Linked DNA regions of Mus musculus. The protein of the gene in region 6 purifies or fractionates together with the protein of the main gene of each other region. This does not show direct contact. Links are inferred from orthologs where the notes say so. Each region holds a gene or a part of one and is shown on either strand. Other genes may lie near its edges.

What was found.
Region 1: the proteins of Lrrk2 (region 6) and Slc25a11 purify together in Homo sapiens (co-immunoprecipitation; 3 studies listed by IntAct, with this or other methods). This does not show direct contact. The link is inferred for Mus musculus from reciprocal best matches to the Homo sapiens genes LRRK2 and SLC25A11.
Region 2: the proteins of Lrrk2 (region 6) and Myo1c purify together in Homo sapiens (affinity purification with mass spectrometry; 3 studies listed by BioGRID and IntAct, with this or other methods). This does not show direct contact. The link is inferred for Mus musculus from reciprocal best matches to the Homo sapiens genes LRRK2 and MYO1C.
Region 3: the proteins of Lrrk2 (region 6) and Slc25a22 purify together in Homo sapiens (co-immunoprecipitation; 3 studies listed by IntAct, with this or other methods). This does not show direct contact. The link is inferred for Mus musculus from reciprocal best matches to the Homo sapiens genes LRRK2 and SLC25A22.
Region 4: the proteins of Lrrk2 (region 6) and Tuba1a purify together in Homo sapiens (affinity purification with western blotting; 4 studies listed by BioGRID and IntAct, with this or other methods). This does not show direct contact. The link is inferred for Mus musculus from reciprocal best matches to the Homo sapiens genes LRRK2 and TUBA1A.
Region 5: the proteins of Lrrk2 (region 6) and Emd purify together in Homo sapiens (co-immunoprecipitation; 3 studies listed by IntAct). This does not show direct contact. The link is inferred for Mus musculus from reciprocal best matches to the Homo sapiens genes LRRK2 and EMD.
Region 7: the proteins of Lrrk2 (region 6) and Sqstm1 purify together in Homo sapiens (affinity purification with western blotting; 3 studies listed by BioGRID and IntAct, with this or other methods). This does not show direct contact. The link is inferred for Mus musculus from reciprocal best matches to the Homo sapiens genes LRRK2 and SQSTM1.

The regions. Positions count from the first base shown.
Region 1 is NC_000077.6:70,644,240-70,648,234, forward strand, and holds the start of Slc25a11 (mitochondrial 2-oxoglutarate/malate carrier protein), read right to left. Parts: upstream 2,801-3,995; 5' UTR 2,624-2,800; coding exon 2,529-2,623; intron 1,990-2,528; coding exon 1,837-1,989; intron 1,752-1,836; coding exon 1,545-1,751; intron 1,382-1,544; coding exon 1,291-1,381; intron 1,202-1,290; coding exon 1,111-1,201; intron 1,031-1,110; coding exon 931-1,030; intron 852-930; coding exon 800-851; intron 683-799; coding exon 527-682; 3' UTR 1-526. Other genes in the region: E3 ubiquitin-protein ligase RNF167 isoform 1 precursor, read left to right, coding at 3,630-3,713, 3,790-3,870. UniProt on the Homo sapiens protein: Catalyzes the transport of 2-oxoglutarate (alpha-oxoglutarate) across the inner mitochondrial membrane in an electroneutral exchange for malate.
Region 2 is NC_000077.6:75,654,536-75,658,814, reverse strand, and holds the start of Myo1c (unconventional myosin-Ic), read right to left. Parts: upstream 2,801-4,279; 5' UTR 2,632-2,800; coding exon 2,614-2,631; intron 1,324-2,613; coding exon 1,168-1,323; intron 1,063-1,167; coding exon 947-1,062; intron 464-946; coding exon 265-463; intron 177-264; coding exon 96-176; intron 1-95.
Region 3 is NC_000073.6:141,432,062-141,434,874, forward strand, and holds part of Slc25a22 (mitochondrial glutamate carrier 1), read right to left. Parts: exon of another isoform or gene 2,348-2,813; intron 2,269-2,347; 5' UTR 2,115-2,268; coding exon 2,095-2,114; intron 1,965-2,094; coding exon 1,839-1,964; intron 1,576-1,838; coding exon 1,520-1,575; intron 693-1,519; coding exon 602-692; intron 98-601; coding exon of another isoform or gene 79-97; coding exon 1-78. UniProt on the Homo sapiens protein: Mitochondrial glutamate/H(+) symporter. Responsible for the transport of glutamate from the cytosol into the mitochondrial matrix with the concomitant import of a proton. Plays a role in the control of glucose-stimulated insulin secretion.
Region 4 is NC_000081.6:98,950,702-98,954,845, reverse strand, and holds the start of Tuba1a (tubulin alpha-1A chain), read left to right. Parts: upstream 1-1,344; 5' UTR 1,345-1,392; coding exon 1,393-1,395; intron 1,396-3,154; coding exon 3,155-3,377; intron 3,378-3,509; coding exon 3,510-3,658; intron 3,659-3,831; coding exon 3,832-4,144. UniProt on the Homo sapiens protein: Tubulin is the major constituent of microtubules, a cylinder consisting of laterally associated linear protofilaments composed of alpha- and beta-tubulin heterodimers.
Region 5 is NC_000086.7:74,253,318-74,257,486, reverse strand, and holds the start of Emd (emerin), read right to left. Parts: upstream 2,801-4,169; 5' UTR 2,536-2,800; coding exon 2,454-2,535; intron 2,280-2,453; coding exon 2,172-2,279; intron 2,035-2,171; coding exon 1,957-2,034; intron 1,745-1,956; coding exon 1,611-1,744; intron 610-1,610; coding exon 563-609; intron 481-562; coding exon 150-480; 3' UTR 1-149. UniProt on the Homo sapiens protein: Stabilizes and promotes the formation of a nuclear actin cortical network. Stimulates actin polymerization in vitro by binding and stabilizing the pointed end of growing filaments. Inhibits beta-catenin activity by preventing its accumulation in the nucleus.
Region 6 is NC_000081.6:91,728,724-91,732,223, reverse strand, and holds part of Lrrk2 (leucine-rich repeat serine/threonine-protein kinase 2), read right to left. Parts: intron 3,309-3,500; coding exon 3,050-3,308; intron 760-3,049; coding exon 571-759; intron 1-570. UniProt on the Homo sapiens protein: Serine/threonine-protein kinase which phosphorylates a broad range of proteins involved in multiple processes such as neuronal plasticity, innate immunity, autophagy, and vesicle trafficking.
Region 7 is NC_000077.6:50,208,021-50,212,302, reverse strand, and holds the start of Sqstm1 (sequestosome-1), read left to right. Parts: upstream 1-1,482; 5' UTR 1,483-1,545; coding exon 1,546-1,750; intron 1,751-4,282. UniProt on the Homo sapiens protein: Molecular adapter required for selective macroautophagy (aggrephagy) by acting as a bridge between polyubiquitinated proteins and autophagosomes.

The DNA.
Region 1 (3,995 bases), on a different chromosome or scaffold from region 6:
AACTCCAGTTTGTTTTCCAGAGATATAAGCTTCTTTGTGCAGCTACCTCCCCCTATGATCCTTAAGACTATCCAGATTTGGGGTTGGTATTTCAATCCAATTTATTAAGTCCTCAGGGAGGAGGAAGGCCACATCTTCCACCATAGACCCTTTGTCATCTTGACAGCTTCTGCTTTCTCCTGTCTCCTCAGCTCTGCCTTGGATTCCCCAGAGAGAGGGATCTGCTGTCTGGTGTGCCCTGAATCTAACACCCAAGAGGAGACTAGAAATCCTTGGTGTGTGTCTTAGGTCTCCTCAGGAAGAGCCAGGGGCAAAGTGATTCTAAGCATCAGGCAAGCACAGCAGGCAGGCTGGAGTAGGGGGAGAACAGACTAAGTTCTTTACCGCAAAGGAGAAAACCACACTGGAGAGGGAAAATAAATAGAATAGCCCAGGGTAGCAGAATCCAGGTCCTCCAGGGCATAGCGACTGTAATAGCAGTGGATGGCTTGGAAGCCTGGCACACTAGTCCTGGGACCATGCCAGATCAGCCACTGAGGAAGAGACGCTTGTAGGCCTTGTTCATCTGTTCCAAGAAGATGAAGGTGAGGACAGTGTGGGGGCCCAGTCGGGCATAGTATGGTGTGAAGCCCTTCCACAGGCTGAAGAAACCCTCATAGCGGACGACTTTCAGCAGCACATCCTAGACAGACAGGCAGGCAAGTGCTGGGGCTAGGCCCTGGTCCTGGTCCAGGCTCTGTCCCCTGTCCCTAGCTCCCTTCGCATCCCTCCCAGGGCACCCCTTCCCCCCCCTCCTCACCAGCCCATTCTTGTATTCTGGCTTCCCATCAATCATCCGCATATTCTGGATCCTGAAAGAGAGTCAGTATGAACATGAAAACCAGAAAGGGGGGCCTCCCCAAGTTCTCCAGTCCCAGGCTGCAGACTCACCTAGTTTTGACGATGTCCACAGGCATGGAAGCAGCAGTGGTAACGAGGCCACTGATCATGCTGGCGCAGAAGTGGCAGAGAATATTGTCAGAGAAGTAGCCTGGGAGGTGAAGCAAAAGGTGGTAGTCAACTCTCAGGTAGCTCAGGCCAGGCTCAAGTTCTCAGCTCTGGGTCTCTCACCTGAGTCCAGCAAGAACTGCTTAGATTGAGAGTAAGAGGCAAGCTGGGCGGCATTGACAACGACAGCTCGAGCCATGGTAGGGATGCAGCCCTGGAGGTGGAGGGTGGAGGCAATGGAGACAGTCAAAAGTGCCAGAGATCTAACCCAGCATGGCCCAAGACTCCAACCCTCGCACTCACCCGCCACAGTGTGGGGACTCCTTCTTCCCTGGCAATCCTAACTAGGGCATTAAACACATTTTTGTAGCCACGGCGCTGGTCAGCTGGAAGCCTGGGGGAAAGGCAGGGAAAGGCCAAGATCAGGACAGACCAGGGTCCATGGAACAAAGAAAGGGAAGCCTGAATAGGTAAGTGCCCTGATGTAGATATAGACTAACAACACCATCCTAGAGTCCAGGAATGGGGCTGGAGTTAAGCTCAGAAACGGAACTCACCGACCATCAGCAGTCATCCTGATGAGAGCCACCTCAGCTGGCGTTCCCACAAATGCACCAGTTGCACCTGCAGTCATGCCAATCAGGGCTTTCAGAAGAAAGCCAGGGGGTGTACCATCAGCCCCAGTCAGGCGCTCAAACAACACAGTATATATTCCAAGGCGAGTAGTGGTGTAGGTGGCCTGGCGCAGTAGACCAGCTGACAGCCTGAAGAGTAGAAATGTCAGCACATCAGGCCAAGGTCTGGACCTGCCAACCAACAACTTCCCTCCCCAACTTGAGGCCACAGTACCCAGTGTAAATGCCCTTCAGGCCTTCTGTCTTCAGGATGCTGGTGAGGGCATGGAAACTGGTTTTGTACTCTCGAGTCTTGGCCCCTTCACCACTCAACTGCATCCGGTTCTTCACCAGGTCCAGGGGCTGCACAAAGACTGTAGCACCCATCCTGAAGTGAGGCAGGAAAGGGAATCAGAGGTCAGTGGTTCCAGCTCTACTGCAACCTGGCAAGAAGTTACAAAGGTCAGGGCCACTAAGGATTCAGGAGGCTGGTGGGCATGTGTGTTAAGTGTGTGCATCAAGGGCAACGTGCCAGCAAAAGAGTCCAGTTGCCCAGTAAGGGGCATGCAAATCAAAAAGCCTCAGGCAGTTCTTTAGGGTTCAAGCAGAATTAGGACTACAGGCGATCTAAAGAAAGGTGGAGAGGGCGTCCCCATCCTAAGACTCCAAGCAGTCCTATAACAAAGCCTTTAATGACCTATACCCACCACCCAAACAGGCACAACGAAGCAAAGGTGGTGGAAACACAGGGTAAAGATCCTTGAATGCAGCACAGTTGGGTCCCTGCAAAGGATGAATAGATCCTGGCAACCCATCAGGGACCCTGCACCGGCTCAATTTACTGCAACACACCCCAAGTTACACTGGGCCCAGGTGCTTGCTCCCGTCCCTTCCTCCTTTTCCCCCATCACTGGGGCCTGAGCTTACCCAGCCAGGCCCCCAAACAGGAACTTGACAGACTTAGGGGAGGTACGGGGTTTCCCGTCCATCCGGCCAGCCCCAGGACTCGCCGTCGCCGCCATCGCCCCTTGATGGCCCTCGGCTTTGGGTCCCGTGCACGTACAGCCCCGCTCGCGCCCAAGGTGACACCAGCGCGCAACAGGGTGAGGGCGCGCGCGCGCACGCCCCTCCGACAGGCAAATCTGGCTCCAGCTGGAAGCTGGGGCGGGCGCAGGCTCGGAGCGCAAAGGCAGCCGGGGAATAAGGCGGGGCTAAGATGCACGATGAAGGGGCGTGGCCGATTTAGGAAGCTACCCTAAATTCCCGCCCCTCCGGAATTGGAATCGCGGGGAAAAAAAAAAAAAAAAAGCTTGTTTGAAAACCTCGCGAGAGCAAGTGAATCAGCCGAGTTCGGGCTATGAGGCCTCTCGCGATATATTTCAGCGGCGAAAGGGGGTGGGGGGGTGGAGGGAGGGTGGTGGCAAGCACTCTCGCGATACTTTGAACGTACCGTGGCGGCCAGACGAAGGAGAGGTTTGTAAACAGGGCAGCTCCAGGATCTCAGGGACTGAGGGAAAAAAACTAGATCGTCTCCTGAGCATCGAAGCTCCCTCCATCTCCGCAGGCTCCTTCTACATGTCAAACATTTCTTTCAACCGGCCTCTCGGGACCGGAAGTCCTCCGTCCTGAGCGTCCAATACTGGAATTGGCCTTTCTTACCGGAAACCCTTTTCCAGGGGCATAGGAAGACAGTCTACCTGGCCGGAAGTCCCACCTCTTTGAGGTTTCTCCTACCCTTCCGGAAGTTTTTTTGTTGTTGTTGTTACCTGTTTGCCTTCGCTCCTATTCTGTCCTATTTCTGTACTAGAGAAAGATACATTGTCTCCCCTACCAGCTCCGCTAAGCTGGTTTGATAGCTCACTCCCTGAATCGGAGTTCCTTCCCCGACGCCCCCATGTAGCTGAGAAGTGGGACCTAGGGGTGGTTGGACCCCTGGGATCCTGAAGGAGAGGCAGAGGAGGGCGCAGGACTCGGCTTCTGCTCCTGCGATCAGAACGCGACCTTCGCAGCTTTACCCCTCCCGCTGCCATGCACCCTGCGGCCTTCCCGCTTCCTGTTGTCGTGGCTACTGTACTGTGGGGAGCAGCCCCTGTCCGAGGGCTGATTCGAGCGGTGAGTCTGAGGGTCGGACGGGGACAGGGTGCTGAGAATGGGGTTCAGACTGAAACACGTAGTGTTCCGTCTGCAGACTTCGGAGCACAATGCCAGCATGGACTTTGCAGACCTTCCAGCTCTGTTTGGGGCCACTCTGAGCGACGAGGGACTGCAGGTGATGTTTTCCCCATTTCCCTATATGGATCCTGGGTAGGGGCGAAGTGGCCGTGCTCAGGAGGTAGGAAGTAGTGGAGTTAGCAGCGGAATGCAGTGGACTGCGGATAGTTCAATGATAGGGTG
Region 2 (4,279 bases), on a different chromosome or scaffold from region 6:
GCACCTGGAAGAGTGCCTGGCACGTAGTAGGCACTCAACAAATATTGAATCACTGAATGGCTAACCCACCCCTTCCTTATTATACCCACAGGTACCTTGAAGTCAAACTGCACATCCATGTACTTTCCAAACCGGCTGGAGTTATCGTTGCGGAGAGTCTTGGCATTCCCAAAGGCCTGAAGGTGGGGAGTCGGGGACAGGAATGTGAGGGAAGCCTGGCATTGTCTTGTCTACCCCTCTCCTCAGATGCTGCAGTCTCCTCACCTCTAACACGGGGTTGCTCTGCAACAGGCGGTCTCGCACTGCGCCACCCCGTTCAGGGGCTGGGCAGGTCTCTGCATAGAACTGGAGCAGTCTCTTGGTGGCCTCTGTCTTGCCTGCCCCACTCTCTCCAGAAATCATCACTGCCTGGTCCCGACGCTCAGTACGAAGTGCCCGGTATACAGTGTCAGCCACTGCAAACCTGGGGCAGAGATTTGTCAGGGAGTTCCCAGAGTGGTACCCCACCTATACCTGACGGGAACCACTCTTGTAAAATATGGGGGTTATAACCTGGAAGATGGAGAAGGGGGTGGACAGGTGGGAAGCCCTCACAGGGTACACCTGCCCAGCTGAGGATCACTCCAAGTGAGGTGCCAGCCATGGGGAAGCTGGGTACTTGAATGAGGCTGGGAGTCCTCACAGGTGGGCCATGTTAAGATAGTTAAAGGAATACTTCAGGATGGGAACTGAGCTCAGGAGCTGAGGGTCCTGGTTGGTGGACAGAACTCAGAGTTCAACTAATGAGAACTGAGGTGACCATAGGTGAACAACCATGGGATTCCTCTCAGTAGTGACCAGTGAGTCACCCAGGGGTCAGGGAATCATTTCAAAGTGGGGTTTGGATGGGGTCATCTTGCAAGAGGACAGGGTAGGTCACTCCTGGAAAGGCAAGGGAATCACTTACAAATGAGGTGGTACTTCATAGAAACTGACACCACGGTAGCGTTCCATATGCTGCCGGCTGTAGATCTGTAGGTCTCGGTAGGGATTGACAGAGACTAGGACAGGACCGATGTAGGTCTGGGGGTTGGGGGGGTGGGGGAGAAGGGTCAGAGGCTTTTCCTGAAGGTTCCTGCTGCCACCTTCCCCTAGGTCCTTGGGCCCAGCCGTGCTCATGGCACTCACATAAATGAGGTTCTCCCGGAACCGCCGCCGGAGGTTCTCAATGAAGGCAGCCTCACTGGTGAAATTCTCCAGCAGGACAAAGTCCTGCACCCCTACCCGGTCTCGGGCAGTCAAGGCGCTCTCCATGGTCACTCGAACCCCGTCACTGCCCAGGGCCTGTGAGGAACCAGCCACAAGACGCTGTCAGAGTCTGCAGGTTAAAGTCTCGTTTCCTACCCTGCCTGCAGGATGTAGAAGGCAGGGACACTTTGGACACAGGCTACAGAACATGTTCCGGACATATGGCTGGGTTGCAGGATGCTGGAATGCAGATAAGAGACCCTATGGGACATATGGACCATGCACACAGCCCATAGGAGCACAAAGGGCCCAGCAGACACTGAACGACTGCATGGAATCCAGGGCAGCGGCATTTTGAGTTGAGGAAGGTGGGACATGACAAGGAGCTCCTAGGAACGGCAGAAAGAATGCTGGTGTTGACCTTGGACAAACCTCCTCCTTTCTCAGGACTGCTTCCTCTTCAGAGAACAGGAGTGGGTTAGTTCAGGTGACCTCAAATCCCAGCTACGTGTTACAGGTGCTTTGGAGGACAAACGGTTCAGAGGGAATTCTGCAGACAGGGAGGGGCCATCTCTCCAACTCCCATCCACCCCAAATTCCCAGAAGTAGAAGTTGTTTAGGGATCAAGCCAGAGCTCACGTCCTAGGAGAGGGTTTCCCCATGGGCCACCACCTCAGCTGGACTTGATGCCCACCCCAGAAGCGGGTGGCCTGCCCTCCCTCAACTGGAGCCACTCCCTCCTCTCCAGCTGCTAGGCTTCCCCCCCCGCCCCCCCTCCTCCCGCAGCTCCTCCACCGTTGAGAAGCCTCAGGAGGTGGAGGGTTCTCCCAGGGGAAACCCAGCTGCCACCCAAGGGTGGGGCAGGTACAGGCTTAGCTAGACCCTCAAGCCGCGTCTTAAGCAGAGCTTTCCTTTCAAAGAGGGCCTGCAGATCTAGAAAATGCTGGGGTAGGGGGGTGTCAAGGAAGAGGAAGGTACTGGGAGCCGCTGTAAATTCCAGGGAGGTCACCAAGTCTCCCCTGACCCTGGTTTCTAGCCCTAGTTGCTCAGTTCTCTGCTTCTCCGTCACCCCTCAAGTCCAGGGCCTGTCTCCCTCAGACCTGCCCACCCCTGACCCACCCAGCCCGAAGCTGCTGCCAAACACCACCGCAGCCAACGCCCCCTGGTCCTCAAGTGGGAGGGGTCTTAGCCATCACCAGGGGCGACCACATGGTCCTGGGTTCGAGCGTTCTGCAGCCCTCTCCGCCTCGGCCTCCTGTTCTAGCAACTTTCAGGGACATCTTCCACCGAAATTCCTGGGCCGCGCCCGCTTCAAGGCCGGCCCTGGAGCGCCGCGGGCCACCGAGAGATACCCTGGACCCCAAACCTGCCCGCGCCCATGCTCACCGATGCCCGGTAGCGCATCCTGCCGGACCCGGCGCCCCGCTCCGCTGCCCGCGCCTCTTGGTCTGTACTCGGCCGCGGCGTAACCGAGGGAGGGGCCAGCCCGCCCCCTGCACCGCCCCTTGCAGGCCCCTTGGCTCAGGGGGCTCGGAGTCCCGACCCTAGGACCCACTGCAGCCGGCCTGGCCGGGCTGGGTGGGAGGGGGTTCGGGACCTAAGAGGGGGCGCGCGAGGGGCGGGGCCTCCTGCGTGCCGCGGGCTCCGCCTGAGTCAGGTTTTCCAGGAGGAACGTCGTTAGTTCCAGGGTGGGGCCCGGAACCCGCGCGGCCGCCGCGTCTACACAGCTCCGGAACTCACTTCCGGGCTCGTGTCTACAGCACGGGGCTGGACACCCCGCGCGAGACGAGGGCTGAAGCCCGTGGGTCACCGGGGAAGCAGGATTTCTCTCCCCACCCCCAACCTCGAGTCCCGGGAAAGTTAAAAATAGAACGAAATGTCCAAATACGGCCGGCGCCCCGGGACAGGCGGAGCCTCTGTACGGGACACTGTCCACCCCCATACACACTCCCAAAGGACTGGCTCCATTCTTTAAATCCTTAGAAAAGAAATTGTTTGAGACAGGGTCTCTTTACGGAGCCCAATCTGGCCTGGAACTCAAGATGCCTCCTGCCTCAGCCTCCTGAGTACTAAGATTACAAACTTGTGCCAAGAGAGCCAGAAGAGAAACATCTCTTGAAAGATCTCTTCCCTAGCTAAGAAACAAATCCTAGGGTCAGAGCAGGGTGCCCTTTTTGACCCAGCATGACCCCTAAAGAAGCCTGTTTGCCGAGTAGGCAGCACCCTTCTGACTTTCCTACGTGTGCAGCCAATAACCTTATGTTCCAGCCTGAATATCCTCCGGACTCAGTGCCCTGCCCCATGGGCTCCTCTCCTCTCTTCCCTTCTTTCTCTTCCCTCTGGATCTCCGCTCTTCCCTGAACACAGGCCATCAGCTGTCTTCCTTGTCTGTCCAGCACCCTCGCTGGTTCTCTGACGACATCAGCCCTTTTTAGGCCCGAGAAGAGTGTGTGAGAGGAGTGGAGTGGACTTTGGGTCAGTTGCCACCTCTTGTGGCATATGGATGTCTACGGTAAAACAAAACAACAACAACAAAACCAGCCTGGCCTTTGCTTACTAGCAGGATGATGATCATGAGTAAGTGCCTTAAGAGGCCGATTGGCTGATACTTGCCAGAATTGTTGGGTTGCCTGAAATGAAGCACTGACCAAGCCATCAACACCACTACTACCCTCTTCCTCTTTCATTCTACACGCACTGAGGGACTTGGGGGAGAGTCCAATCTTCTTGTCTAGTGAAGAAAGCGTCCGCCCCTATATCTACCATTTGCAAAGGGTTCTCAAGTGCCTTATCTATTCCTCGCCCTTTGTAAGGAACCTGAAGCATATACCGAGGGTATACACTTGGTCTAGGGAGGATAGGGGGAGTAAGAACCCAAAGCACCAAAGCGCCCCACCCCTTGGACGGGGACTCCCTGGGGAGGAGGTGAGTCTGCGACAGGTGCTGCCTTGCGGCCTCAAGGGGAAGGATGGTTCATTACTTCGTGAACAACAGCTCGAGCCACAACCCGGGGGTGGGGGTGGTGTGCGGCGCCAGCTGGGGAACGAAGCCC
Region 3 (2,813 bases), on a different chromosome or scaffold from region 6:
ATGGGGGTGGTCACAATCACCTGGCAGGTGCCGGCCCCGCAGCCTGCCAGCATCTCCTTAGGCAAGGTCAGCTTCTGTCTATAGAGCGGGGGCAGGACTATGATTGAGGTGATGAGAAACAACTCCCTACATGGGGCAGGGACAGTCTGATTCACTGGTGTAAAGGGGGATGGGAACTGTGGAGGTCCCACAGGGGCACAACCTCGGGCTCCAGACTCTCCAGCAACAGGCGTCCAGCCCAAAGGACAGATGGTCTCACACGTAAGGGCTCATAAAGAGAAATGGGGAAGAGAAGGGGCCAACCTTGCAGCCCCACAGTCCAGTCATGGGGTAACTGCTTCATGCCCCCAAATTCTGGCAGCAGATGGTGGCTAGGGGCCAACAGCTGCTGACTCAGCAGCTGCCTTGCACCTCCTCACGTGGGCAGCAGGCAAGCACCCGCCCCCACAAGGTCAGAGATGGTGCGCAAAGGGACCGAGGTAGAAGAGCCTCTGGGGTCTGTTTTCAGTCTAGGGGACTTCTGGGGCGTGATGGGTGGGGTTAGCAACACACCCTTCCTTAGGACCTGGGCCCCAGCAGCCAGCGTGGCCGAGCCTCTCACCCATCCTTAGAGAGCTGGTGTCTGAAGAAGTCATTAGCTGCCAACTTGATGGCCTTCTCCGGGGTGACCAGGGTCAGGTTTACTGCTGCTCCTGTGGGGCATCTGAGGGTCAGCTAAGGCTTGGGGGACACAGGTAGGTCGGGTGGGGACAGACTCGCTGGGTAGCTTGGGTTAGGGAAGCTTTGGGAGAGCACTTTGCTCCACACTGGCAAAGCCCTGCCTGGCACTCCTTGGCTGCAGCCTCCTGCCCTCTCACCCACATATGGGCTTGTTTTGTGCCAGGCAGGCGGGGGAACCAGGCGGGATGGGGTGGCGCTGTGTCCTCCCTCCCCAGCATTCCACCTCCATCTGTCTCTGGCTTTGGCAGAACAGGTCTCTCCTGAGAGGCAATGAGGAGCAAGCCTCCAAAGACTATGTGGGGGGGTCCTCCCTCCTGGGGACAGGTGCTCCCACTGGCAGGACTACAGTATGGGTCAGGGCTCAGAGAAGGCTGTGGATGGCTGATCAGAGCTGAGGGCTCAGGGCTACACAGCATCTGGGCAAATCCACCCTCAGGGATTGTTTCCTAAGCTGCTTTGTTTAATGCCCCTGGTCTCTAGGCACAGATGTGGTCCTGCCTGTCACAGAAAGTAGTGGAGGAGACCTAAGCCACTACAATAGAGAAAAAGAAACAACCTCTGTCCTGCTGTACCAGTAGAAGACAGCAGGGTGTTTCAGGTGAGGTTTGAGACCTGCCACCCTGCAGAAGAACTATCCCCCCAGACATCCAGTCCCCCCAGCATGAGGGGATGGCAGGTGCCCCCACTGTGCTCAGGTGCTACCAGTATCACACGTCTATACTTACAGACCAAGCCCAGACATGCATCCCTTGTCCCTGCTCCCAGCCAGACCCATCTGTCACCCATTCCCAGGCCTCACCCCTATACATGCCGAAGTAGCCCTCGGAGCGGATGGTCTTGATGAGGCAATCAGACCTGTAGTCAAGGGGACAGCAATAAGTGGTGGCCAGCTGGACCCTGGCCCCGAGTCAGGCAAGGGCAGCCAGTGTTGTCTCTACCCACTATGCTCATCCAAGGCTGACAGAGAAGCCAAAGACTCTGTCAGGGTCAGGGTAGGGTGGGGGAATCTTTCTCAGGTCTGCCCTGTGTTGTTCCCCCTTCATCAAATTCAGGGGTGCAGGAGCAGAGATAAAAGGTGGCAGCTGCACCCTCACCCCTCCTAGGCAGCTCTCACTCACATGCTGGCATACATGCGCTGGCCATTCTGCTGGTTCTGCAGCCGTGTCTTAGCCAGGTCGATGGGGAACACGCAGGTGACCCCGATTAGCCCAGCGATGCCACCATTGATGAGCTTGGCCGGCAGGCTGTGTGTGCAGGGTCAAGTGTCAGGATTAACATCCTCACCCACAGGACAGGGGGATAGGGAGGTCATGCTGGAGAGGGGGGGTGACCAAAAGCCAAGACCAAAAGCCCAGGGATTGGGGTCCCTCTGACCTGATCTGCTTATCAGCCATTTACACCAAGTGAAGCAGGAGTCAGGCCGGGTGATGTTGGTGGAGGCACTGATGGGGAGGGGCTGATGAGGACGATGTAGGTGGCTGGTGGTGGTGGCTGGCGGTGGGGGAGGGGATGTCCTCACCTTCAAAGCAATTTCAAGTCTTGTGCCACCTGAAAGAAAGAAGGACAGAATGAGTGGTAAAAGGGGCCTATCAGAAAAAGAAGCCCCTCTCCCCGCCCACCATCTCACAAGGGCGTGAAGTCCCTCACTCCCTAGACCCCATGCGTCAGGCTGCAGCCTTCAAGATACCCAGAGGATACACAGGGGGGTGGGTGGGGGAAGAAAGGGAGGCCACCCATCCCTGGGGCCACCTGGATTCACTTCAATGCCCTCCCCGTGGCGTCCTCCCAGGCAGCCAGGAACTCACGCTCACACGCAGATGCTCACGCACAGAAGGCAAGCTCCAGTTTTTAAAGGGCCAGATGCCTTTTAATGCAGTGGTACTTGGACCCTGGACTTGAGCTGTGATCACCAGTTCCCACCCTTGATCAAAGGCAGCTAGCTAGCATCTGCCGTTTTTTCAGTGGGATGGGTGGTAGTGGTTTCTCCTTTGTGGAGCTCCTGGGCGGAGCAGGCCCAGTTCCCTAACAGCTCACTGGGTCACGGAGCCCCTTCCCTTAGAGAAGCAAGATTCCCACCCACACCGAGCTGGTTG
Region 4 (4,144 bases), about 7.2 Mb from region 6:
TCTGGCTGAGCAGCCTTGGGGAGAGCAGCTACAGTTCCCACAGTCAGAAGCCCAGCTGCGGAAGGGGCTATTTACAGAATTCAGGGAACTACATAAAACTGCAGCAGGGCTGGCACTGCACAGTTGTCTGGGGATGAAAACATCACAAAATGGTTTCCTTTTATATTATAAAACGCTCCTCTTTTTAATTTGGCATCTCAGTTATTTTTTACTTGATATCACCCCTCCCCCTCCAAAAAAAAAAAAAAGACTGGAGAAATACAAGCCCACACAAAGAGCTAGTTTTTAAACTCAATTCTTTCTCCTTACAGTTTCTGAATTCCATATTAGAAAGGATGGCTCATTTCTAGGGACAAAATAACACAGGCTCTGGGGTGAGGTAGGGTGGGGTAGGGGGGCGGGCACGGAGGGGTGATGGGAGAGAATTACAGCTAAAGAAAGAAAGCTCTCTAGTATTAAGTACTACTTTGTATATTATTTCTCTCTTCTCTTCTTTCTTTCTTTCTTTCTTTCTTTCTTTCTTTCTTTCTTTTTCTTTTGGTTTTTGAGACAGGATATCACACTATATATCCAGGGTGGGCACAAATTAGCTGCAATCCCCGGCTTCCCAGTGCTGGGATACACAGGAATAAACCACTAAGGCCAGTTAAGATGACCTTGAGCTGCAAGTCTTCCTGCCTCTGACTCCCAGGTGCTGTTGAGGTCACAGGCGTGGTCTACTCGTACTGACTTTTGCTCAAATAATAATAAAGAATAACAATAATACAATAACTATGAAACTAAACATTCAGCCACGCCTTTTTGACCACCCCCGTATCTTCTGCTACTTTTTAAAGCAAATAGAGATGTTGAATTCTGACAGAACGTAATTAAATTCAGTATATTAAAAATGAAAAGCTGGAATTTTCCAAAAAGATTCTAAACATAAATTCTGTGATTAAGTGTTGGGAAAAACCTTAGATGATTTTTAAATACAGTTTAAGGTTTAAACTACGTATAATCATCCAACCCCAGTTTTCTTTCTTCCCTTTCCACCCCTCCCCAACTCCACCCCATAATGGATGCTCGGCTAGCTGCCTTTGCACGGCCTTTGTCTGAAGGATGCAAAGTCTACGGATGCTAGGGGGAAGGGGTGGGGGAGAGATTACCTCATACCATGTCGCTTGCACCAATCACCACTCTCCTGTCGCGGCTTCTCTGGGCAGACAGAGGGGTCTGGACCAACAGGAAAAGGCCCTGGCCCATCCCCATGGTGACAGAGCTGTATATAAGGAGCCGCATCCGCCCAAGTGCCGCAGGTTCTCTTACATCGACCGCCTAAGAGTCGCGCTGTAAGAAGCAACACCTCCTCCTCGCCTCCGCCATCCACCCGGCAGCCGCGAAGCAGCAACCATGGTGAGCAAGCCTTCCCCGGCTCTCGGTAGATAGAGGGTGGGTGTCAGTCGCCCCAGATCTGCAAGGAAACGTCTAAGGCTTTGGTCACCTCTGCGGGGAAAGGGTGGTCTCCATGCTTTAAGTTTATCTTAGTCTTTGAGTCCCGCCGCCGCAGTGCGGGACACGGAAACGCCCAGACCGGGAAGAACAAAGGCAGCGCCGATGAGCTAGCGCTGGCAGAGCCAGGGACTGCAGGGGACCACGGGGACCGCCGGGGACGGGTGGGGGATCGAGGGTCCGCTGCTGTAGGAGGGCAGGGGCGGCGGCCGAGCCCGAACTCCAGAAACACCGCCCCACTTCGCTAGGAAAATGTTTAGTTTGCGTCGGATCCATGGCAGCCGCTGTCAGGGAGGCGCAGGGGCGGGGTTGTTTGTCTCTTGCTTCCGTGGCGTTTTGGGAGGGGTTGGTTCTCACTAAGCCTCTTCCGAGCGGTTTTTTTTTTTTTAATTATTTTTATTTTTACTTTAAAAAAAATCGTTGTGGAACTGTAGTCATGGGATGTTTCGTCTGCAGGGCTGTCAAAAATACGATTTGCTTAACGGGGACATCTCGCTGAGGGGGGAGGGGAGCTGGATGGTTGGGGAATGACAAAGCCCACTTTGTGAATCCTAGAGTACGCTGATGGTCAGAACCCAGGGAAACGCCCTTCCCCGCCCCCCACCCCCGCAGACAATGAAAGTAGTCCCTCCACAACAGACGTGTATCTCTATAGAATGAAATATTAGTGGTATGTAGAGATTCATAGGATAAAAATATTATTTTCTACTTTTAAATTTAGCTATCTTTTCACTTGTTTTTTTAAAAAATGTTGGCGCTCATTGTTTCTAACTTAGCCTGCTTTAAGAATATTTCCATTCCATACAGTGGAAAACCTTCAAAAAACAATGGATTTTCTGCAAAGAAAAAAATTATACTCTGCACCCAACCATCTTTTGTTCTAATAAATGTGCACTAATTCATTAATTCAGGCTAATGGCCCCAGCCAGGGTTAGGAGGGACCATGAAAGCAGCACAAAGAGATCGCATAGACAGCTGCTGGAAATAGAGCTTTCTCTGTTAAATAATGTAACAGCACAGGCTAGCACCAGGCACAGAGAACGTGGCAATGCAGAAATCAGACTTTGTCTAGCTTGTCGACTAGCCAAAGTACTGATGGGGTCTGTCTGCAGAAGGGTGTGGCTCCTGGCCTCAGCCGCACTGCAGATGTCAGTGTTGAAATAGAAGGTCCTATAGTGTGAGACTCTTTATTATGTAGCCTAGCCAGAGTACTGATGGGGTCCACAGAAGGGTGTGGCTGTTGGCCCCAGCCGCACTGCAGATGTCCATGATGAAATACCAGGTCCTATAGGATGAAAACTTCATCCTTACTTATCGGGTAAAGAAGCAATTAGTATTATTATGGATAATTATTTTGTTTTACAGAATCTATGCTTTAAATATTTTTCAAATATGAAAGCTGTTCTATTCAAGCAAGGCTTTGGAAACAATGGGTTTGCACCATGTCTTAAGCAGTATTAAGGTGACATCTAGGCCACACCCACTTTTGGTGTTTGTAGTGAGTACTCCTCATTGTTCCTGTTATTAGGGATGTGACTCCAAATAAATTTCAACAATATTTCTATTTTTAGAAACACTTTAGAAATCTATTAAGATCTAAAATAGAAATACAGCTTAATATTATAACAGCTTAATTTTATAATTTTTTTCCCTCTTTCCACAGCGTGAGTGCATCTCCATCCATGTTGGCCAGGCTGGTGTCCAGATCGGCAATGCCTGCTGGGAGCTCTACTGCCTGGAACATGGCATCCAGCCTGATGGCCAGATGCCAAGTGACAAGACCATTGGGGGAGGAGATGACTCCTTCAACACCTTCTTCAGTGAGACAGGAGCTGGCAAGCATGTGCCCCGGGCAGTGTTCGTAGACCTGGAACCCACGGTCATCGGTAAGCTGGCTGGGGGCTTCCCCAGGCATTCCTTCTTGGTCACATACTCAGAATCTCTCTCCAGACCCAGAAGGGTGAGTGAGCTTGTGTGTGTCCTCGGTGGCCGATGGCTGACGTCTTCTCCCTTTGCAGATGAAGTTCGCACCGGCACCTACCGCCAGCTCTTCCACCCTGAGCAGCTCATCACAGGCAAGGAGGATGCTGCCAATAACTATGCTCGTGGCCACTACACCATTGGCAAGGAGATCATTGACCTTGTCCTGGACAGGATTCGCAAGCTGGTAAATGCCATATATGGATGGGTTTAAAATGCAGTGGGAGGGTGTCTTGGTATCTGTCAGAATCTGTCAAGTCTTTTCTATCAAGCAAATATGGCTCCCAATCTAAAGGAATTGCAAATAGTGCTAAGAGTATGCCCTCCTAATAAAACATTACATTTCCTTTTCTCCCACAGGCTGACCAGTGCACAGGTCTCCAGGGCTTCTTGGTTTTCCACAGCTTTGGCGGGGGAACTGGCTCTGGCTTCACCTCCCTGCTGATGGAGCGGCTCTCTGTGGATTACGGAAAGAAGTCCAAGCTGGAGTTCTCCATTTACCCAGCCCCCCAGGTTTCCACTGCTGTGGTTGAGCCCTACAATTCCATCCTCACCACCCACACCACCCTGGAGCACTCTGATTGTGCCTTCATGGTAGACAATGAGGCCATCTATGATATCTGTCGTAGAAACCTCGACATTGAGCGCCCAACCTACACTAACCTAAACAGGT
Region 5 (4,169 bases), on a different chromosome or scaffold from region 6:
GGATGAGGTGGGAGACAAGCATTGCCTTAGGCTAGACCTTGCACCCAACTAGAACACACAAAAAAGCCCCTACCCTCCCCACCCCCAGCAAACACCGATAAGGCAATCAGCCAAAACTCCTGGTAAGAGCTGCTCTAAAACCAATACCCTTAGGGATCCATCCAGAAGGGGTTGCCTTCTTCAGCTTGTATGGAATAGTAAACAAAGAGCAGAAAGGCAGCAAAGACCAGGAAGAGTAACAGCTGGCCCCAGAGTGGGACCTGTCGATCCTGGCCCAGAGCAGCAGCAGGGGCCTGCTTCTCTGGCCGAATGGCACGTCGGGTAAGCCATGAAGAGGGAGAAGATGAAGAGGAGGACACAGAAGAGGTGGAGGATGTAGGATAATATGATAAGCCCAGAGAGCTCCTGGAGACATTGGAAATGGGGCGGTAGTGTGCGATGCTCTGGTAGGCACTGTCTTGGCCATAGATGAGGCGCTCCCTGTGGCAAAAGAAGGCAACAGGTAGGCAGGAGAGTCTGAGACTCGAATTTGTCCCTGTCCCTACATATGTTCACTACTCACCTATCCTTGCCTTCCTCTTCTAAAGAAGAGAAAATGTCATCACGCACCTGCAGAATAATTAGGATTAGAAATGGGGAAGAATGGTTTTCCTTAAATGTCTCTGGCTAGCCTGCTCTAATCATATCATAGGGACCAGAAAATTGCCCCCCCCTCCCCCATTCTGAGTATGTGGAGCCTCTTTATCTGTGGGGCCTTGCTGCTCAGTTACTAACCCTGTTGACTTTGTTCCAGCATCCTTTTATTCCCCTGGATTCTCAGGAGGCTTAAATCTATATCGTAGATTAATTACTAGAGTGCAGGAGCTGTTACATATTCTCTGATCAAAAAAGTTTGTGGGCTGAAGAGGTGGTTCACTGGTTAAGAGCACATATTATTCTTCCTAGGTACCTGAGGTCAATTTCCAGCACACACATCAGGCAGTTTACAACTACCTGTAGCTCTAGCTCTAGTGGGAATATGACAATTCTCACCTCTGTAGGTGCCAGCACTCATGCATACTACCCACAGACATGTATGTGAGAATTCTGGAATTTTGGCTTTTTTAAGAAACACAGAAATATTGTAAGAATATGTTTTTGTTTTAATCTTAGGTGTGGAATATGGGGCTGCTTCACAGCAGCTAACTATGAGTTGCCTCATGCTTTTAGCAAAGGTGTGTTTCTGTGAGTTTCAGATAGTTTCTACAATTGTGTGATATTTGGAATTCTGGGAATTTTTCATTACTGGGGGTGAAGTGGGGGGGGGGAAATACCCACAAACTAACAAAAATTGGCCACACATATGTATAATTAAAGTAATTAAATCTTTTAAAAAAGCCAAAACCCCAAAACATTTGTTATGTGCTGCTGGAGATGAAACCATAGGTAAATACTCTTCTGCTGAGCATCCCCAAATCCAATAGTTTTGAAGGTTCCAACATAGAATTTTTAACCCGACAGCTGTATGCTGACCCTAACCAGATTTGAAAGCCTAAGATCCACTCTCTGCACCTATCCAAACCTAGAATTCCCTAAGGCTGCACCCCAGGTATACCTACCAGCCAACTCACCTGGTGATGGAAGGTATCAGCATCTACAAGTGAGGTCCCCGGCTGGCGGAAGCTCTTGGACATGCCCACAGACTCAGGCTCCCCGTATGTCTTGGTGGTCAAATAACTCTCCTCATAGTAGTCATCATTATAGTCTTGGGGAGGAAAACAGTGGTAGAGGAAAAAGTGGTGCCCCTTAACTGGCCTCCTCTTCTCCCTCCCCAGCCTGTGTGTGCTGTGTCAGTTTCTCCCCTCTGAAGCCACTGAGAACTGGTACAAGGAGGTGAGGGAGGTCTGGGGTTTCCCTGTGCCCAAATCCCGGAAGCATGGGATAAAAACATCAGTGCCCACCCTATACCTGCCTTACCCTTGCTCTGGTAAAGTAAGGCGTCTTCTTTTTTGGGCAGATCATACATGTCTGAGTCCACGGCGGCTGAATCCAAGTCTGCATGTGAAGGAGGAGGGACAGGACCATTCGATCTCCAGCCTTCCCCCTACTCCCTCAATAGCTTCGGCCACACCCTCCCTCCCTAAGACGTGTGCCCCAAGCTGCTCTTTGGGGCTCTGCAGTTAAGGGCTCACCTGAGAACTGATAGGAGAATGAAGAAGATGACGAGTTGGGGGGTAAGAGTCTCCTTCTCTGGGTCTCGTACTCGAAGATTTTCTTTTCGTAGAGCTTGCGAGTGGAACCTGCCCAGACACAGGGTGCGAAGCGGTCAGAGGGCGTGAGCCGAGCACCCCAAGAGCACAAGGGAACACGGGGAGGGGACTTGAGGGGAGGGAGAGGTGGGGAGAACGCTCAGGGAGGAGCGCGGGAAAGCAGTGGACCAAGAGAGGTTCTGAGCGCCACCGGGTGCAGCATACCCACAATAGGCCCATGAGGGATGTTGTACTGGCGTAGCACTGCGGCCAGCTCAGTATCGGACAAAACCGCATAGTCGTCCATGGCAGACAAGGCCGGCACCTGGAAGCGGTGTTGAACGCCAGGGGCGGCCGGGGCCTACAGACAGGGCCCAAGAAACCAACCGCTCGGAGCCTAGAAGAAGAAGCGCCAGAGCCTCAAGAGCGGCTGTGGGCGCGTCACGCCGCCGTCACATTTGCGTCACAGCCGCGGCTACGCAGGTTGCGCGCGCTCCTCAGGGCAGGCCCAAACTAGCCAGAACGGCCGGTGCAGACCGGTCTAGCTGAGGGAACAGGCTGGGCTGGCAAACAGAAACGTAACGCTTGTGAGAGATTGGCTCGAACAGGGAGAAGGCGGAGCTTTCAGAACTCGTGCGGCAGCGGTTGAGACTTCCTTTGAGAGCTAGGCCGCCGAGGGGCGGAGCTGGCTGACCTCACTAGAGGATGCTTTAGAGCGCAACTTACTAGGGATGAGGCAAGTGATTTGACCAAAACCGGCTTGTGAGATTTCCCAACCTGTGAGATCTCACATACTTTTGTTACTGGCTTCATTCCTGATTTTATTCCCCCGGTGTTCCAGTGCCTAGGATTCTCAGCCACAGTGTGATCCACAGCAGTGTAAAGCAATCCTGAGAGCGAACCCTTCCAGAGCGCCTAACGCTGCTGAGAGCTCTTTGTATGCTGTCAGACAGGGCTCTCATCACCTAACATAGACACCCACAGAGCCCTGGCACTCCCTACCCATCTCCTTTGGTCTTCCCAGTCTCCATGACCCTGGCCTGCACACCTGCACAGGCCCATTCCCACCGTCGTCTTCTCTAATGCCTAGTTCCATTCGCGAGGAAATGGGGCCAGCACTGGGCCAAGTGGCCACCAGCACTACAGGATCAAGCAGCTTTCCAAAGGTCCAGGGTATGCCAATGCACACAATCAGAGGGCGCCTGCCTGCCTGCCTGCCTGCCTGCCCTGTGATGCATGTAGATCTGTACACCTTGTACCTGCCATACTCACTGTTCTACCTTGGGCCCTGAGGAATTCTGGGGGGAGAGGTCTTCTCTGGCTGAGTAGAATAGTCTCTAAGCTTGGTGTGACCTTAGAGACCTAGACAAGTGTACAAAGCCTAGAGCACTATTTCTCAACCTCCTTAATGCTGCAATCCTTTAATACAGTTCCTCATGTTGTGGTGACTCCCCACCCATAAAATTATTGTGTTGTACTTCATAAATGTAATTTCAATATTGCTATAAATTAAAATATAAATATTTGTTATGCAGGATATCTGATATGTGAGATCCAAAGGGATAGCGACCCCAGAGGTTCTGAACTGCTGGCCTAGAGGCAAACCATGGGAATTGATGGAGGCTTACTAAGGATCTGGATCAGAGAAAGGTTGCCTTGAAGAGTGACCATGACCATTATATTCTACACAAAGTCATGTGGATCTAGGTAGGCTGCCCTTTATTGGAGAGATCTAGAAGAAGGGGTACGCGTAGAAAAAGTGTGTAGGATGCCTGATCTCTTAAATCAGTGCTTCTCAACCTTCCTAATGCTGTTGTGGTGATTCCCAATCACAAAATATTTTTGTTGCTACTTTATAATGGTAATTTTTGCTACTTTATGAGTCATAATGTAAATATTTTTGGAGACAAGGTTTGCCAGAGGGGTTGTAACCCACAGGTT
Region 6 (3,500 bases):
CATAATAAAGTTAAGAAATAACTTTCCGGCTGGGCATGGTGGCGCACACCTTTAATCCCAGCACTTGGGAGGCAGAGGCAGGAGGATTTCAGAGTCTGAGACCAGCCTGGTCTACAGAGTGAGTTCCAGGACAGCCAAAGCTACACAGAGAAATCCTGTCTGGAAAAACCAAAAAGAAAAGAAAGAGAGAAAAGGAACGAGAGAGAGAGAGAGAGAGAGAGAGAGAGAGAGAGAGAGAGAGAGAGAGAGAGAGAGAGAGAGAGAGAGAAGAAATAACTTTCCAAGTGTAGTCCAGACTCTTTCCTTAGAATTTCTTGATTTTCTACCTATAACCCTGAAAGGCTGGCATCATTCACTTATAAAGGTTAAGAAAATGACAGAGCCACAAAAGTCTAGTGGTATCAGCGCATGGACAGCAACTCCGGTGTGAGAGTCATCTTGCTGTAAGTGTGTACTTGCATGCCTGAGCCCTTTGGTTCACACTGGGATGCAGCGCACAGTTTCTTGAGCTACAGCATTCAAGGCCAGCGTGTAGCTATGAGCCACAGTGGATCTGTTTGAAATAGATACCTTCGCTATCCAGATCATCGCTCTGGCCAAACACACTGTCCATAGAAGAGTCGGGAATAAAGGTCCATTCTCCAAATTTCGCCAGCGCGTCTTCAGAAAACTTGCCGTCACTGCCTGAGGCCACGCCTTCTTGAAGGGTGTTTCTCATCTGATACCGGAGCACTTTCCTCGCTAGGACAGATCCTGTGTCTAAAAATAAATCAAACGAAATCAGTAATTATCCAGCATAAACATAACCTTTCTCAAGCTCCTTATACAGACCTGATGCTTTTAAAATAATTTTTCCTTGAAGAATAACTTTACTATATACAGTAATAGTGTATATTTGCCATATACTCTTTTCTATTACATTCTAATTTTAGTATCTGTGCTGCAGCTATATGAGGCTTGGGTATTATGGGCATTTTCAGACATGAAGCTAACTTAACTCAGGGCAGAGTTGGACTGTCACATGTGATGCCACTTGCAAGCTCATTAAGCTCTCTCAGGACAAATCAACTTACCTAGAACAAGTAGGTGGCCTGTTCAGAGCAGGATTATAGAAAATTAAATAACATGATTATGAAATCTTATGACAATGCTAAAATTTGTAACAAACAAAATTTGTTCAGTGGCTCATGTGATACAATTTTAACACCTGTGCGGGCTTATTTTATGCCACCTTGACACAAGTTAGGGTCATCCTCAAAGGAGGGAATCACAGTTGAAAAACTGCCATGATGAGATTGGGTGATAGAAAGTCCTGTGGGGCATTTTCTTAATTGGGGGTTGATATGGAAGAGCCCAGCCTACTGTGGGTTACACCATCCCTAGGCTGGTAGTCCTAAGTGCTGTATAAAGGAAAGTTGAACAAGGCATGAGGAGTAACCAAGTAAACAGCCTCCTCCATGGCCTCTGTACTAGCTCTTGCCTCTGGCAGGCTTCACTGAAAATAAACCCTCTCCCCCCCAAGTTGCTTATGATGAATTTCAACCCTAAGGCAATTCTCTTCTCAAGTTTACATTACATTTTATATTTATTTTATACCAAGAAGAAATGTGCTGGCAGTCACCATTGATCTACAGAAACCCTAGGAGATTTCTTCATAATAAATACAATATGTGAGTCAATCAAATAAGACCTGAGAAATATTTCAATGCTATGCATTCAAATTTTTCCTTTAGACAAGCAACCAATGGTATCGTGATTTTATCTTCCAGCCCAAGTGACATTAACACTTTGAAAATTACATCAAGACTTGCCACTGTAAGATCTTCACATGAAATTAAAGGAATACCAAATTTACATCCGAGGTCACAAACCCATTCTGCCAGAAATCAGAGAACAAAGGTGAGCAAGGTAGCTCACATCTATGATCCCACAGCTCAGAAGGCAACGGTGGGTTTGCCTTCAAGTTTAAATTCAATCTACTTTACTTAGAGAGTTTCAGGTCAGCCTGGGCTACACAGAGACACCCTGAAGAGAAGGGGATATAGAGATGGGGGAAGGAAAAGAGAAGATGGAAGAAAAGGAGAGAGGGGGGAGGGGAGGGAAGGGGAACGGAGGGAAGAGGAGGGGCATCATTTGTAGAACTATTATTCAATACAGTGTTCTATTTTTACCTAAGTGTGATTAACACAACCCAATGGAATTTTCAGCAATCAAAACACCATTACAATGTTAAGTTTGTAATCCTTTCTCGACCAGGTTCTTACTACACTGCCGACCCTGGCCTCACAATTCCCGTCTGAACCTCTCTGGTCCGTGTTTATCCACATTTAAGTTTGCTGCCTGATTCTCCTGTGTGACTGCAAAGGAGTCACTGGATGGCTTTCCCATGGTTTGTTGTTTTGTTTTGTTTTGTTTTGTTTTGTTTTGTGTTTTTGAGTATTTCTCTCTTCCCCCTAATCTTTTTATAACGTTTATTAATAGTTTTCATGTATATTCTCATACATAAAAATCTGTATCCTGGATGTCTAAGAATACATCATAAGTGAAAGAGTAAATAATTAAAATGTTTTATGTGTATGTCTTTCCCTATACAAATAAAACATTGTATACATTAGATTTAAAAAAAAATTCAAAAGTACATGGATTGAAAACATCAAAAGGTAGTGAACAACGGTCCTCAGGAAGAACACTTTTAATTACCGTTGATGTGTGAAGTTCTTGCTATATAGCACATGCTTTCTGTATCATTTACTACCAGCTCACCCTTGCACATTTATGAATATCCTATGACCATATGTCACATGTAAAGTAGTAACATAGACACTAAGATTCCAAGAGTGGGAAAAGCTAACTGACATCACCATGCTTATAATCTACTACAAAAAGATTGTAAAATTTAAAAAAATACAATTATCTACCATGATGATTGAGTTTGTGTACAGTGCATTGGTGGGATAGTGTCTGTGTAGCATGTACAAAGTCCTAGGTTCAAAACAATGCTGTTGGGTCTACTTGAAGTAAGAGACGACACATTCTTATTGGTACTTACTTGTTTGCTTCCTTAAATTGGATGACTTATCTGGAAATAAAGGACCAAGCCAAGAAGGATCAATTTTTCCTATGCCAAATCCTCCAAGGCAAATGCTGTTGTTGGCCAGGTCCAGGGCAAGTTTCCTGAGGAGCAAGCTGATGACCTGGCTGTCGCCCTTTTGGATGCTTACGGTCAGGGCCTTCCGTACATCTTGTTCACGACAACCACCATTAAGCAACAGTTCCACCAATTTAGGACTGCTCTCTTTCTCACATACCTAGTTTCACAAAAAAGAAGAAGTGGACACAAAACTTGAATTTCTTCTCTTTGGCTAGACAGAAAAACAGAGCTTGCTATGGTCAATCTTCATACCTCAAAATTAGGTTGAAATGAAATGAAATAAGGCAAAACTTATTCCTGTAGTAGACATAAAAGATAAAATGAAATTATTGCCACAGATGCAAGGCTA
Region 7 (4,282 bases), on a different chromosome or scaffold from region 6:
CTGCCTCCCAAGTTCTGGGGTTAAAGGCATGTGCCACCACTGCCCTGCTTAATTTGTTTTTTTTTTGAGAGTAGGACTTGCTATGCAAGCCTGGCCGAGCCTTGAATTAGAATTCCTCTTGACTCAGCTTCCCAAGGGCTGGGGTTACAGATGTGTGTCATCATGCTAGCTAACAGGTCACTCTGGCCACAGAAAGCAGCATTTCCTGGTTTTGGCGTTTGTATTGGGGGTTGAACCTAAGATGTAACACATACTAGGCAGGTGCTCTGTCACTGAGCTATATCCCTATGCACCAAATTCCCATTAATGATATCTCCCGGGTATATCCCTACTAAGCTAAATCCTCATGACCTGTATCCCTACTAAGCTAAATCTCTATAAGCTGTATCCCTACTAAGCTAAATCTCCTGTATCCTTACTAAACTGTATAGCCAGATTCTTTATTCCCGCCCCCCAGCACCCAGACTTTTTTTCTTTCTTAGAAGCCTCATGCAGCCAAGGCTGGCTTTGAACTCTGGAACCTCTGACCTCCCAAGTACTAGGATCACTTTCTATTTTGAAACAGTTTCACCAAGTTGCTCAAGCAGAATATCTTGAACTTGGTCTTTTCCTGCCTCAGCACCTCAAACAGCTGGAATAACCAACCTGTGGCACAGGACTGGCTATAGCTTGTATTTTGGTTCCTAGATGGAGGGCAGGTGGTCTGATCCCTTTGTGCTTTGAAGCCACTAAGGCCTGAGATACATGTACCTTCCGAGAGAGAGAGAGAGAGAAAGAGAGAGAGAGAGAGAGAGAGAGAGAGAGAGAGAATATGAATGTGTGTGTATGTGTGTGTGTGTCTGGGCTGCAGTGAGGAATCTCTGGTTGCAATGAACAGGTTGTGACTACTGCTGCCTCTGGAGCCCTGGCTACCCCTCTTACAGGGTGGGTTTGTGAGAAGTCACCAGTGCTTGTCCAACACCTCTCAACCTGATCTTTGTTAAATTGGGTGAGGCCTAAGATGGTGGGTGATGTTCCTTTATTCAGTGAGGGGCTGGTCATGGTGGATGCCTGGAAGGGGGTGGGAGTGGGGGCTACTACCGGGGACACTATGTTTAGGAGGGTCGGAATAGCATCCTGTGAGACAGCCTGTTTGGCTAAAAGAATGGCTACCTGACAGTAGACATCTGTGTCCTCCTAGCTTCTGGGCCGTACATCCCCCCTGGCTTGGGGACGACACTGCTGAGTCATAGGCAGGCCCAAGCCTGGGAGGTACCTAGGCTCGATACTTACGGGTCCTTTTCCCAACGACTTGAGGCTGAGGCTGGTCTCTTGTGGTCACCCATGTATTCGGTGGGAAAGAAAAGAGTAGGCAGTGGGGTCGTCTCGACCCCGTACCTTTCAAGGGTCCCATCAAGGGGGCTCCAGCGGCCGCCCCAGCCTAGGGGAGGGGCGGGGCTCATAGAGGCTCCGCCCCCACGAGGCGGGGCTCCCCCGTTTTCTATAAAAGCTGGGCTCTCGGCGCCGCCGCTGCCCAGCTGTTTCGTCCGTACCTAGACCGCGGTTATGGCGTCGTTCACGGTGAAGGCCTATCTTCTGGGCAAGGAGGAGGCGACCCGCGAGATCCGCCGCTTCAGCTTCTGCTTCAGCCCGGAGCCGGAGGCGGAAGCCCAAGCCGCGGCCGGCCCGGGGCCCTGCGAGAGGCTGCTGAGCCGAGTGGCTGTGCTGTTCCCCACGCTGAGGCCTGGCGGCTTCCAGGCGCACTACCGCGGTGAGGGCCTGGGGCGGGGAAGCCAACCTCCCCCGCCAGGGAGTAGTAGGTCTGGGCGAGGACGAGGCGGCGTGTCCTCTGGCTCCCCGCGGGGACAGGGTGGTCAGGCGGCCGCTCAGGTTACATCTAACATCCAGCGGTTCGCTTGCTCCCCGTAACGCCCGGTGGTGGGTTCAGTTAAAGCCCCGGAAGACCTGGGACCAGGCAGACGTGGAGGAGGGGTGGAGAGGAGTGACGCGGATAAATAAGCAGCGGGGGCGGGGTGGGGCAGCCCGTGGGAAGGGAGGTAGGGGACCCCGGAACTAGCTCAGTCTCTTGCGTTGGAGTGGCTGGTGGCTGCATGGGGTGGAGCTAGAGGTTGTTGACAAGAGACGAGTGGACAAGACCCTCCCTGTGGGAGGGAATGGTTTTGCGATCTCTATGGAGGACTGTGGGTAGGCCAGGTTGGTTGGTCAGTCTCTCTCTTTTCTGAAATAAAGCCACGTAGCCTGATTGGCCTGGAATTCACGAGTGGTTTAGGCCGTCCTCAATCACTCCAATCCTCTTGTCTCAATTTTCTAGTGCAGGAATCACAGGGACTACTGGACAGAAAATTTTCAGTGTAACTGCGTTATAACCTAGGACCTGTGCAATTCACCCAGTAAAAGTGTATAACGATTATTCTTTCGTATTAGCAGAGACAGGTCTTACTATATGGCCGGGATGGCCTGTATCTCTAAATTGTCCTTCTGAGTCATCTTTGTGCTAGGCATCCAGTCCAGGGCTTCATGCATGTTAGGCCCTCGAGCAACTGAGCTACCTCCCCAGCTCCTTGCATTTAAAAAAAAAAAATGAGTTGTATAACTATTTTCACATTCGGCTTAGAATCTCTTCATTGTTTTATAAATTTTATTTATATATTACATAAAAATTATATAACAATTATTGTAATAATTATTATTTTATTATATAATTTTTTTCCTGTTTGTCATCTTGTATCCTTTCCAGTTCCAGGCAATGGCTGGTCTACTTTAGTATTCATTTTACTATTAGGAATTAGAACACATTAAAATGGCTTTTTTTTTTTTTTTTGGTTGCTTTTTCAAGACAGGGTTTCTCTAGGTAGCTTTGGCTGGTCTGTAGACCAGGCTGGCACAGTGAATCTTTGTTCATTCACTTATTAATATGTCTAAGGCCCATTTGTATTACAGCTCTCACTAGTACATCTTCCCCCCTCCAGTACTGGGAATTGAACCTAGGGCTTTGCATATGCTAGTCAAGGGCTCTATTTCTGTACATGGGCAGTATTTAATTTCTTTTTGTGTATGAAGAATAGTCTTCTTTGAATATGTCATGTTTAATTTATCTGGTCTGTAGTTTATGGACACTGTTTCTTTTGAGGCAATCTCTCTCATCTCCCTTATGGTAGCTGTTGCTAAATGGTTGCTCAGAGGCTCAGTCCAGCCTGCAGGTGTGTGGTTTTGGCCTGTATAAGGTTTTTGTACTGTATCAGGTTTTATACAGACTATTTGTACTGACATAGAAGCATATGGCTGTGATCCCAGTTATTGTGAGCTAACAAAATGAAGCCAGATGGGTTTGAGAAATCGCTCAATGGTTAAAGCCTTGGCTGCTCTTCTAGAGGACCCAAGTTCTGTCCCTAGCACTCATCACAGCTGCAGGTCCTGGAGACCCAACACCTCTTCTGGCCTTTGTGGCACACACATACACTTAAGTGTGTGTGTGTGTGATGTGTACATACAATATTAAAAAAACAAAACAAAACCTGGAAGCCTGGTTGCATGTTTGTAATCCCAGCACGAAGGCGGCTCATCCACAGGTTGTAGGCTGTCCTGCTCTAAGTAGTGTCAGGCCAGGTAGGGCTACATACTAAGATCCTGCCCCTGAAAGCAGAAAACATAGAATTGACAAAAACAGAACAAACAACAACCTCAGAACAACTTAGATGCCAGGCATGGTGGCTGCACGCCTTTAATCCCAGCACTTGGGAGGCAGAGGCAGGCAGATTTCTGAGTTCGAGGCCAGCCTGGTCTACAAAGTGAGTTCCAGGACAGCCAGGGCTATACAGAGAAACCCTGTCTCAAAAAACAAAACAAAAAAACACCAAAAAACCCAAGAACAACTTAGATGGAGCCTGAATGTAGTGGTTTCTAGCTGTCTAGTTGAAGGGAGGGGACAGATGGACTTACGTCCTTTACTTCTGAAGCCTGAGGCCTTTGAAGGGCTGGGCCATCAGGACTAGGGTGGGATCTCCCAGGTGATGGACCCACACCTGGTTAGGCGTGGCCTGAGGGCACAGGTGGCCCAGTGGTTAGTGGCAGGAAGCTGGACCCTTATACACATATACACATGACATATGTTCTGCCTTCTGCATGTAACTAATCTAGGACCTAGGTTGGAGTACATATTCATGCCGTATCGGAATGAACGGCCATCTTGCTGCTTGGCTCAGCAGCCAGGTTGAGTGTAGAGCCTTAGTAGATGTCCCTTTACCACTGGGCTCTGTACACTGCAGCAGATGCTGGGTGCCTC